Oryctolagus cuniculus: one gene and its partners. The protein of the gene in region 2 interacts with the protein of the main gene of each other region in a biochemical or structural test. Links are inferred from orthologs where the notes say so. Each region holds a gene or a part of one and is shown on either strand. Other genes may lie near its edges.

The links.
Region 1: the proteins of FKBP8 (region 2) and EGLN1 form a complex in vitro, tested with the Homo sapiens proteins (2 studies listed by BioGRID, with this or other methods). The link is inferred for Oryctolagus cuniculus from reciprocal best matches to the Homo sapiens genes FKBP8 and EGLN1.
Region 3: the proteins of FKBP8 (region 2) and BCL2 form a complex in vitro, tested with the Homo sapiens proteins (4 studies listed by BioGRID, with this or other methods). The link is inferred for Oryctolagus cuniculus from reciprocal best matches to the Homo sapiens genes FKBP8 and BCL2.

What each region holds. Positions count from the first base shown.
Region 1 is NC_091444.1:50,887,991-50,891,635, reverse strand, and holds part of EGLN1 (egl nine homolog 1), read left to right. Parts: intron 1-2,012; coding exon 2,013-2,149; intron 2,150-3,645. UniProt on the Homo sapiens protein: Cellular oxygen sensor that catalyzes, under normoxic conditions, the post-translational formation of 4-hydroxyproline in hypoxia-inducible factor (HIF) alpha proteins.
Region 2 is NC_091447.1:65,700,663-65,704,307, reverse strand, and holds part of FKBP8 (peptidyl-prolyl cis-trans isomerase FKBP8), read left to right. Parts: intron 1-914; exon of another isoform or gene 915-1,059; intron 1,060-2,402; 5' UTR 2,403-2,427; coding exon 2,428-2,710; intron 2,711-3,645. UniProt on the Homo sapiens protein: Constitutively inactive PPiase, which becomes active when bound to calmodulin and calcium. Seems to act as a chaperone for BCL2, targets it to the mitochondria and modulates its phosphorylation state.
Region 3 is NC_091441.1:15,291,347-15,295,091, forward strand, and holds the start of BCL2 (apoptosis regulator Bcl-2), read left to right. Parts: upstream 1-1,292; 5' UTR 1,293-1,429; coding exon 1,430-1,975; intron 1,976-3,745. UniProt on the Homo sapiens protein: Suppresses apoptosis in a variety of cell systems including factor-dependent lymphohematopoietic and neural cells. Regulates cell death by controlling the mitochondrial membrane permeability. Appears to function in a feedback loop system with caspases.

The DNA of each region.
Region 1 (3,645 bases), on a different chromosome or scaffold from region 2:
TTTTTATTTACATTCATTTTATTTGAAAGGCAGGGAGACCAAAAGGTAGATGGAGAGAACAGGTTCATTCCCCAAGTGCCCTCAACAGCCAGGAACTCAATCTAGATGACCCATGTGGGTGACAGGAGTCATCTGCTGCTTCCCAGGGTGCACAGTAGCAGGAAGCCAGGACTCCCACCAGGCCTTCCTCGAGAGGATGTGGGTACCCTTTGTGGAGACCCAAGCACTGAGCCAAACACCCACCCCAGGTCTTTGAATTTTTATACAGCTTAGCCAAAGTCGTTATTGTATAGATTTCAGATTGACACATAGGCAGAAAGAAGTCCCTAAAATGTTTATATGTAGAACTGAAAACTTCAATTTCAAGATGGCACTGAGTATGTAGTGTGCTAAGGATAGAGCAGAAATGCAAATAACTCTCGTAGAGCTGTGGATTGATCTGTTGGAGGTACAGAGGATAGATTGACAGTTAAATTCAGTTGTGCCAAGTGTCAGAATCGTATCTCTGGGGCCGGCACCATGGCTCACTTGGCTAATCCTCTGCCTGCGGCGCCAGCATCCCATATGGGCACCGGGTTCTAGTCCCAGTTGCTCCTCTTCCAGTCCAGCTCTCTGCTGTGGCCCAGGAGGGCAGTGGAGGATGGCCCAAGTGCTTGGGCCCTGCACCCCATGGGAGACCAGGAGGAAGCACCTGGCTCCTGGCTTTGGATCGGCGCAGCGCCAGCCATAGCAGCCATTTGAGGGGTGAACGAACGGAAGGAAGACCTTTCTCTCTGTTTGTCTCTCTCACTTCCTAACTCTATCTGTCAAAAAAAAAAGATTAATAAAGATTAATATCTCTGGAAGTGCATAGGAAGGCCACCCAGATCAGAGGTCAGGGAAGGTTTCCCAGGGGAGGTGTCGACTAGCCATTTCTCTTTAAACATTTCAGCCAATCATCTGTGATATTCCCAGTGACTCCAGTCAAAGGGAAGGGGACAGGGAAAAACCTGGAGAGTTGTGAGATTTTTACATAATTGCCTGGGGAATCACTGTGAACAACCTGGAACCAACACTGGAACACTGGCAAGGGGGCCCAAGGAGCTGGACCTGAAGATGAGCCTGATGAACATTTTTTTCTGACTAGATTATAGCTTTAGGCTCAACCTCCAGGAAGTCTTGACCAGGTGGTGCAGTTCCTTTCCATTTTAAACAGTGGCCTCTTTAGGTGTTTATTCTTGTTTGGCTGTGATTTGCCTAGCTTTATTCTCCTCCCAGATTGTAAACACCTCAAGAACAAGGTCTGGCTGTATTACCTGCTCTGCACCTAGGGTCACCACAGTTCCCAGTGAAATAGCTGCTCAGTCAATATTGGTAGGAGTGGATGAGTCCATGTAACTTCAGAGAATGGTGTATTTAAGTAAATAATAATTCTGGAAGGAATTGAGTTTTATAATCAAGTAATTATGAGCATATCAAGCCCAGTCTGAAAAGGGAGTCCCAACAGTGACTGTGGCATGAATGGTGGAGTGATGATAGTGATAAATGAAGACACTGTCTAGCAATGTATTAAATTCTTTATATATTTTTCTTAAATTCTTTACAAGACATTTGTGGATGTTATATTAAGTGTTCAGCTTTCAAATACAATTAGCTATTAGACATGAGCCATTTATAGTAATTTAATCCAAATGACTTGTTGAAAGGTATCCATTTTAAGGGCAGTTTAAGTAGATCATTAGGATATATAAACGTTTAATAGTTTTCGAAACATTCAAGCATCATTTTAGGAATTAAATTGAGACAATATTCATGTTTCAGCATATATTTATAAAACCTCTCAAACAAGAAATGAATTTTTTCCTTGCAGCAGTGCAGTACTTAGAATCTCAGCTTACATCATACCTTGTTAATTGATATGGATTTGTGAATAATTTGATTCAGAATTTTGTTTCACTGAAATAGCCCCCTCCCCAGCTTAATCTTAGAGCATTTTTGGTTACTCATGCTTACATATTTGTCTCCTTTCCTAGGTAAATGGAGGTATACTTCGAATTTTTCCAGAAGGCAAAGCCCAGTTTGCTGACATTGAACCTAAATTTGATAGACTGCTGTTTTTCTGGTCTGACCGTCGCAACCCTCATGAAGTACAACCAGCATATGCTACAAGGTAGTATTTCTTTTAAGAAAAAATATGTTACAAAAACTATGGTTGGATGGGAGAGGATAATTTGAGTAAATTTGAAAAATTTCTAATGAGTATTTTCCTGTTCTCCAGGTGCTTTTTATTATGTTTTATAGTCATTTTTATTTTAAAAATTGTATATGATTTATTCATAGTTGGTACTAAATGCTTGTGTATTTCTTTGCACAGTCACTCCTTGTCTTGGATAAGAAAAGGAAACTTCTCACCCTTCTAGCCCTGTCTCTTGGTGATTTCATCTCTGAATTATTGCCTATCCTTTGATTTTCTGAGGGTATTCACTTGGGTGATGGAAATACCAGATAGGAAAGGAGAAGGGCAGAGGTAATGAGAAGGGCCAGTATTGTGGCATAGTATGCTAAGCCTCTGCCTAGGTGCTGGCTTCCCATATGGGCACCAGTTTGTGTCTCAACTGCCCCTCTTCCAATCCAGCCCTCTGCTAATGGCCTGGGAAAGCAGTAGAAGATGGCCCAAGTCCTTGGGCCCCTGCACCCATTTGGGAGACCTGGAAGAAACTCCTGACTCCTGGCTTCTTATTGACACAGCTCCAGCTGTTGCAGCTATTTTGGGAGTGAACCAGTGGGTAGAAGACCTTTCTCTCTGTCTCTCCCTCCCTCTGTCTATAACTATACCTCTCAAATAAATAAATAAAATCTTAAAAAAAAGTAATGAGAGAAAAAATAAAGAGTAACAATATGGAAAAATGGATAGAGTAGAAAAAAATATGAGGTAACTAGGGAGTAGAAGTGAAGAGAAAAAACAATAGAGGAAAGAAAAGTAGAAGAAAGATTGCCATATGTGTGAGTTAATGTTGGAAAAATAATCTTTTAGCCTTATTAAGAAGCATATGTTTTATTATGTCCTTTCTTTACAAGGTTTAGTACCCTAAATGTTTAATTCCTTTTTTTTTTTTACCATTTCTCATAACTCAGTTTAAATGTGAAGACTGTTAAAACTGAAGTTGTTGCAGATATTGCTATGAAACTAGGTATTTGTAGAAAGAATACTATTTTCTAAATATCTTTTTCATTTCAGAAAGAACCTAGAATATTCTGATAATGAATTCCAGCAATCTGTTTTAACATCTGGCTTAGGAGATGCAGAGGGATGTGTGCTGGAGAGAGGATGCACACCCTTAGAGACACTGGGTTTAGTGCTGATGTTAGAGTCCAGTCAGCTTGCGTGAGCTTCTGAAGACTTGCGTGTCATCTCTCCCTTTTTTCTCCTTTCTGAGTCAAGCAGCCTTCCCGCTAATTCACACAGAGGAGCAGGCTGAACAGTTGGTAGCCAGAAATCATAAAAAGTCCTAAATGGAAACCAGAGAGAATCTTTTCTCTTGGATCCCATCCCTCGTCCTGAAGCTCAGTGCCTGCCTCTACCTCCCACTGCAGACTCTTTAAATGTTTTCTGACCCAGAAACTGCTTCATAGACCTTCTTTTCAATGAGATTTTGAGCTTGGTTT
Region 2 (3,645 bases):
TGCCTTTCAAATAATTCGACAAAGCGGCTAGATGTTGTAAACCACCAGGCTAACCTGGTCTTGCCGTGGGGGTGGTCAGGGAGGGCTCCCTGGAGGAAGCTGACTGGGATCTCATTCATTTATTCACTGCATTCATTTGTTCAACTATTGAATCACTGCATTGCCTCGCAACCGCGTCACCCATCGGGGAGGCGCTGGGTGCAAAACAGGAAAAAAGAAAAATAAACTCCCCGCCAGGACAGAGCGAAGTGGGGGTTGGGGATGTGGGAGCGCACCTCTAAGCCAAGGAACGCGCAGATCTTTCTGGAAAGGGGCGGCTGCCCAGGAGGAAGTGAACCTGCGAGGGAGGAGCCAGTGCCCCGGCTTCAAAACAAGCGGAGAAACTCTGTCCGGCCTGGCCGCGCGCGCGCCCCCTCGCCCTGTGTCCGAGCGAGCGTGCAGCAGGGACCTCTCTGGGGCCCCTGCGCGCTCAGCTGCCCGCCCACCCAGCCGTTATTGAGCGCCTTCTGCATGCATCAGGGAACCCTCCAGGAAGACAGAGACCCCGCGGGGTGGGGGGAACGCGGTGTCCTTGGGCACATTGCCCCCGACCCCCCACCCCGGCGCCTCGCAGAGCTGGGGCCTCGGGGTGGGCTCCCCGGACCCAGCCGGCGCTTCCTAAGGCCCCTCCCCGCGGCCCCCCGAGAGTGCGAGCGTGGCGGGGGGTTTATCCCCATTCAGCAGACGAAAGCTCAGACCCGAGCCGGGAGCGGCGCCGGGCGGTGCGGCGCGGACCCGCGGTCGAAGTCCATCCCAGAGGCCCCCCGCCCCCGCCCTGAGCGGCCGGGAGGCGTCGGCCCCTTTAAGAACGCCCCGCGGAGCCAAGCAGGAAGGGGGCGGTGCCCGCGCCCGAGACGGACGTGCGCGCAAGCCAATACGCGCGGCAGTGGCGGCGGCGGCGGCCAATGAGCACAGCGGGGGTGGGGCCCGGCGCCCGAACCTGGTTCCCGAGGCGCGGCGGCCGCGGCTGGGGGCGGGGAGGGGGGCGCAGGACCCCAGGCGGGGGTCCCGGAGCCGGAGGCACGTGTCCCGGGGCGCCGGCGGGGTCGCGCTGGCCGGGGCCACCGTTCGGGCCTCGGCGGGTTCCGGGGCTCGGCGCGGCGGGGGCCGCGGCCGATGGGCGGGGCGAGGGGCCGCGGGGGAGGCGAGCGCGGGGCGCGGGGGTCGGGGGTGCCTTAGGGGGGCTCGGCCTGCTGGGAGCGACGGGGCTGGCGGCCCGAGGGAGCGAGGGAGAGCCCGCGGGGGGCGCTGCCGATCGCTGCGTGCAGGGCCGGGGGTGCTCGCGGGGGTCGGGGGGCTCTGAACTGGTGGCGTCAGACGGGCGTGGGGCGCTGGGGGCGTCCCGGGGGCGGAGGGTGCTGAGGGTCGGGAGGGGAGCGGCAGGGGACGCCGGGGCGACCGAGCGGCCGTGGGGGGGGCTGGCCCGGCTGGGGGCGGGGGGCATTCGTGCGTTCGCAGGGGGTTGTGGGGGGCCCGAGCCCCGGAAGCGGCGGGCAGGTGAGGGTTAGGGAGGCGGTACTGCGGGTTCCTGGGCGCTTGGGGCCTGAGGGAGCCTGGGGGTCGCTAGGGCTAGGGGCTCCCAGCAGGCCTGGGCAGGGAAAAAACTAGGAACAAGCCAGGGCCAGGCCGGGCGGGTGGGGTGGGGTGGGGGTCTCTCCCTCGAAGGCTGCTTGGTGGGGGGCCCAAGGGGGCCTGATGGAAGTGGGTTAGCGCCAGGGTCCCCGAAATAGGAGTTGGGGGTCAGGATTAGCTGAGGGTGAGGAAGGAGAAGGCTGGGGCGGGGGTGTGGGTGGTGGTGTCCATGTCTGTCGGAGGAGCTGGCTCCCCTGGGGAGAAGGGGCAGGTGGAGGTGGGCAGGCCCTGGCTGGAATCCATTCCCCACATAGCCTGGGAGCCCTAAAGATGGCTTCCCTGAGGCCTGGGGGTGCTCCGTCGCCCCCAGCACCCGCCCTTGGCATGCAGTCCCAGAAAGCCCCCAGGGTCTGTCCCTGCCCTGCGATTGCTCCGTGTGACCTTGGACCCCTACCTTTGCCCCGCTGGGTCTGTTTTCTAATCTGCAGAATGGGTGGGGGGGCTGTGTGTGGAGAGGGACGGTTCCTACTTGCTGAGATGTTTATAAAAATTAAATAATCATTAGCTCTAATAATAGCTAACACTCTCAGCCTCATGCCTGGCGTTTGAGGCGTGGGTTGTTTTGAATTCCCTTCCGGGTTGTTGTACCCACTGTACGGATGAGAGGACTGAGGCCCGGGAGTTCCCGAGTCCCCCTGCTAGTGGTCAGCCCTGGGTGTGTGTGGGGAGGGGTGGGACAGAGGAGACTCCGGGGGGCTTACCTCCCTCCTGTCCGTCCCCCCTGTCCCCAGGGCCAGTTCCCGTGCCCCCAGCACCATGGCTTCCTGCGCCGAGCCCTCGGAGCCCAGGGCCCCGCCGCCGGCTGGGGTCCCGCCGCTGGAGGACTTTGAGGTGCTGGACGGGGTGGAGGAGGCCGAAGCGGAGGAGGAGGAGGAGGAGGACGATGACCTGAGCGAGCTGCCGCCACTTGAGGACATGGCACAGCCCCCGCCGGACAAGGCCGAGGAGCAGCCGGGGGCCCTGGCCCGGGAGTTCCTGGCTGCCATGGAGCCGGAGCCCGCCCCGGCGCCGGCCCCCGAGGAGTGGCTGGACATCCTGGGTAAGGAGCGGCGGGGTCTGGGGCTGACCTTGGTGACAGCCGCGTGACAATTGCTGAAGTCCACTCCTGGCGCTCTCGCTCTCTCTCTCTCTCTCTCTCACACACACACACACACAGAGCTGCCAAGAGGCCCAGGGAGGCTGAGTCACCTGCCCGGAGCCGCACAGCAGCCCGGCGCCCGCAGCTCCCTGCCCCCACTGCATCTCTGCCCAGCCCTCGGGTGACACTGAGGTCGGGTTGTGCAGTTGAGCCGTGGGGTGGGGTGGGGGTGGGTGGTGGGAGCTGCTCCATGCGGTCTTTGTGAACCGTTCTGAAGGCAGGGACCAGGTGAGCCCGCCCCCCCATCCCGGGACTCATTAGTATTCCGTGGAGGGCGTGGGTGTCTCCCTACCGAGCAGTGCGGTGCCCACGCGGGTGCGGGGCCGACAGCGACACCCCAGCCACGGCACCAAGGAGCAGAAATGCCACCACCCGCACCGCCACTCATCCGAATCCCCGCTACCTCTAAAAATAACCCCAGGGAGTACTGAGGCTGGCCTGGCCTGCACGCCTTTTTTTTTTTTTTTTTAAGATTATTTATTTGAATGAGACAGAGAGGCCATCCGTCCACTGGTTTACTCTCCAATGCCAGCAGCAGCCGGGGCTGGGCCGGTCTCCTGCAGCCGGGAGCCAGGAGCTCCATCCCGGGGCTCCCACGTGGGTGGCAGGGACTCGAGTCCTTGAGCCGTCACTGCCGTCTCCCAGGGTGCGCGTGCGCAGGGGGCTGGCTCTGGACGCAGGGCTGCTAGGACTGGAACCAGGCGCTCCGATACGGGGGTGCGGGCCCCGTGTCTGTGACCACCCCATCCCCATTTCACAGATGCTTGCCCGAGGTCACACAGCGCCCCCTGCCGGTGCCTGCGGATAGCTGCCGAGCTCCCGGTCCCCCGAGCTTG
Region 3 (3,745 bases), on a different chromosome or scaffold from region 2:
TTCTTTCTTCTTTTTTTGAATGAACAGTGACGTACGTACAGGAAACCAGTCGGTTTGTGAGGAGAATGAAGTCAGCGGCCAGGCCCCCGCCCGCCCCCTTCCTCCCCGCCCCCGCCCCTCCTCCGCGCGCCGCGCGCCCGCCCGCCGGCCCGCCCGCCCGCCGCTCCCGGGGTCCCCGCCGCGCCGCCGCCGCCGCCCGCGAAGGTGCCCGGGCGCCGGGCCCCCCGCCAGCGGCCGTCAGAGCGCGGAGCTGCCGCACGGCGCGACCGGAGGAGGCGGCGGCCGCCGCCGCCAGCGCCCCGGCGCGGGAGCGGGCGGAGCAGAAAGGGTGCGCAGCCCGGAGGCGGGTGCGCCGGCGGGTGCAGCGGAAGAGGGGTCCAGGGGGGCGAACTTCGTAGCAGTCATCCTTTTTAGGAAAAAGAGGGAAAAAAAAAATAAAACCCTCCCCCGCTCCCCACCCTGGCCGCACCACACACGGCGCGGGCTCCTCGCGAGGCCGGCGCGTCCTGCCTTCATTGATCCGCAGCTTTTCGGAAAACGCGTCGGCTGCTCTCGGAGTTGAATCAGAAGAGGACCCCGCGCCGGCCGGGCCCCGTCGGCGTCCGGGGCAGAGTCCGCGCCGTGCCCGCGCGGCGCGCGCGCCTGTCAGTGGCCGAGGGGAGCCCGGACGGAGCGCGCTCCGGAGCTCGGGGCCGGATTCCTGCGGATTGACGTTTCTGAGGAGCAGAAACCCGGGGGCCAGCCTGGAGACCCCCCCGCCCCGGGGTGCCTACACCCGCGCCCGCCGCCTCCCGATTCATTCGGAAGTTTCCAAGCGGCTCTCACCCGGGAGCTCCGAAGATTGATGGGATCCTTGCCTTATGCGTTTGTTTTGGTTTTGCAGAGAAGGAAACTGGACAGAGGGTCATGCTGTCCTTTAAAAACACAAGTAAGTTCTTTGCGCAGCAGATCGGGCTCGCGTAACTTTCGGTGGCGGCACTCGAGATGCTAACTCGGAGTGCCTTCGAGTAAATGTGAATTTTCAGGCAGTTGAATGCGTTGTTTTTAGCCGTGTGGCCCGCAGCGTGCATGCCCCCGCTTTCTCTCCGTGTGTGCCGGAGAACGCACCTGAGTTTGGCTTAACCAGGTTTTGTTTTTGTTTGTTTGCCTTTTTTTTTTTTCCAACCTTCTAGCATCACGTAGGGAAAAGACTGGCGTTCACCACGCTTATGAATGATAACGTGCCTCGTGAAACAGAGATCCGAAAGGGATTTGAGTAAAAATCTCCTGCGCCTGCTGCCAACGGGGAAACACCAGAAGCGAGGGCTCCGCGTGACTGAAGACACCCCCGCGCCCGAGGATGCGGCGCGCGCCCGGGAACCCCGCCGGCTTCTGAGCGGGCCCGTGCGGCGGGACGCGGCCGGAGGCACCGCGGGCGCCCAAGGGCAGCATGGCGCACGCCGGGCGAACAGGGTACGACAACCGGGAGATCGTGATGAAGTACATCCACTATAAGCTGTCCCAGAGGGGCTACGAGTGGGACGCTGGGGACGCGGGCGCCGCCTCCGCGCCGGGCGTCTTCTCCTCCCAGCCCGCGCCCGCTGCGCCCCGGGACCCGGCCGCCAGGACCTCGCCGCCGCCGCCGCCGGCCGCCGCGGGGCCCGCGCTCAGCCCGGTGCCACCTGTGGTCCACCTGACCCTCCGCCAGGCGGGCGACGACTTCTCCCGGCGCTACCGCCGCGACTTCGCGGAGATGTCCAGCCAGCTGCACCTGACGCCCTTCACCGCGAGGGGGCGCTTTGCCACGGTGGTGGAGGAGCTCTTCAGGGATGGGGTGAACTGGGGGAGGATTGTGGCCTTCTTTGAGTTCGGTGGGGTCATGTGTGTGGAGAGCGTCAACCGGGAGATGTCGCCCCTGGTGGACAACATCGCCCTGTGGATGACTGAGTACCTGAACCGGCACCTGCACACCTGGATCCAGGATAATGGAGGCTGGGTAGGTGCCTGTCTGGTTGCACGTGAGTCTGGGCTTGCGGTCGCAGGTCCGAGATGCCGTGGCGAGGGTGTGGGTGGACCCCGGGGGCCGGGGCAGACTGCAGAGCCCGTGAGCTAACAGCAGGTGTGTCACTTTCCCTGCTTTCCCTCCAGCGCGCCCTGCAGGAAGCGCACCCTGCCCTCCCAGCTAGGGCAACTGCTTCCCGCCAAAAGTGGTGTGCCAGCCCTGGAGGCTCCCAGATGCTGCCTTTGCGGCCCAGTAGGATTTTGTGATGCATGGTCCTGCCTTCCCGTGCTTCTCAAACTGGGGCTGCGGAGTCCCCAGCACCACAGTTACGTGGCCTGGGTAGTTGAAATCGCAGGTTTCAGGGACTTGGTGTGGACCAGACACACCGCGCATCCCACGACCACCACCACCCCAGGGCGAGGCCCTGGCAGTCTGCATCCTAAACAGGCTCCCCTGGTGGATTTGTCTTTGTCCTAAAAGTTGTAAGCCACCCCATCGAAGAACAGACTCCCCCAGAGGACCAAGAACATGTTTGCCTCACTGGGTAAAAACTGCCCCAGAGGAAGCCCAGTGTAACCCCTTTCCCTGAAGGTCTTAGCTGTGTTTGTGAAGAGGTAAGTGGACGTAGGGAGAGCCGGGGGAGTGTTCACCTGCTGGTCGGGCCGTGACCCAGTGGACACGATGGTGTGCATTGAAGGGCAGCAGTCTGTGGATGCGCTGCGTCCTCTTGTCAGTGATGGGGTTTGGATTGGCTGCAGACTTTGTGTGCTGTCCCTTGTGTCGCATTTAGAAGTTTCCTGGAGTTTTACCATCTCTTACATTTTACCACCTAGACGCCACATGATTTTGTGGTCTCTGCTTACATACACCACACACACTCACAGAGAAACTTGCACCTAGGGAAACTATGTAAAGCGTAGAAGAATTGATCTTTAGCTGTGGATTCTTTCATGCGCTGACCAGGGTTGAAGTGATGAGCAGCTGTGACTTTTAAGAACCTTGGTAAGACGCTTTTTCTCCCGCTCCGGGGCGGTTGCTAGATAGAGCTTCGATCCTGTTCACCACGCAGTTGTATTTTTCCATGATGCTCTGGGACTGGGGTGCGGATCCCAAGACTCAACGGTGCTTAATTAAGATTTCCATCTCTTACCTAAAAGGATTAATTTATGAGAAAGTAATCATTCTTGTCTGGAGTTTTGTTAAACTTTGTTTTTAGTCTGAAGAGTTATCTTGGAAGAAGGATGCATTTCTGTGAGCTCTTCTATAGTCTCTTAGGAGAATGACTCACATTATAGAACCTAATGGGATCCAAAAGCCTAGACGTGACTGCAAGAAGCACATTTCTTCATTTTTGCTCCATTTTTCAAAGTATGCTAATATTAAGGGGCCAAAAAGAGACGGGGCCAAGAAATGTAGGTGATTGATGTGGACATCTGATATTATTTGACCAAAGTTGACAAAATATTGATGCCACTGTTCAATGTTTGAATGTAAAATTAACTAAAATATCCCAATTTAAATCTCTAAAATTTAATGACTCTTTATGGATTGTTTGTTGAAATCCCACATTATCAGGTCTTTAGTGATTCTGGAGTAATTTGCTAAAGGATGAAAAGAATATTTTTGTTAAGTGTTTAGTTAAGCAGCTGGTTTGATTTTTAATCACCATAACCAAAGAGGAAGGGACTTGTAGACTCCGCAAGGATCATTCTAAAACCAAAGTAAAACTGATTTAATAGGTCTCCTGGTTCCTATTTTTCATAA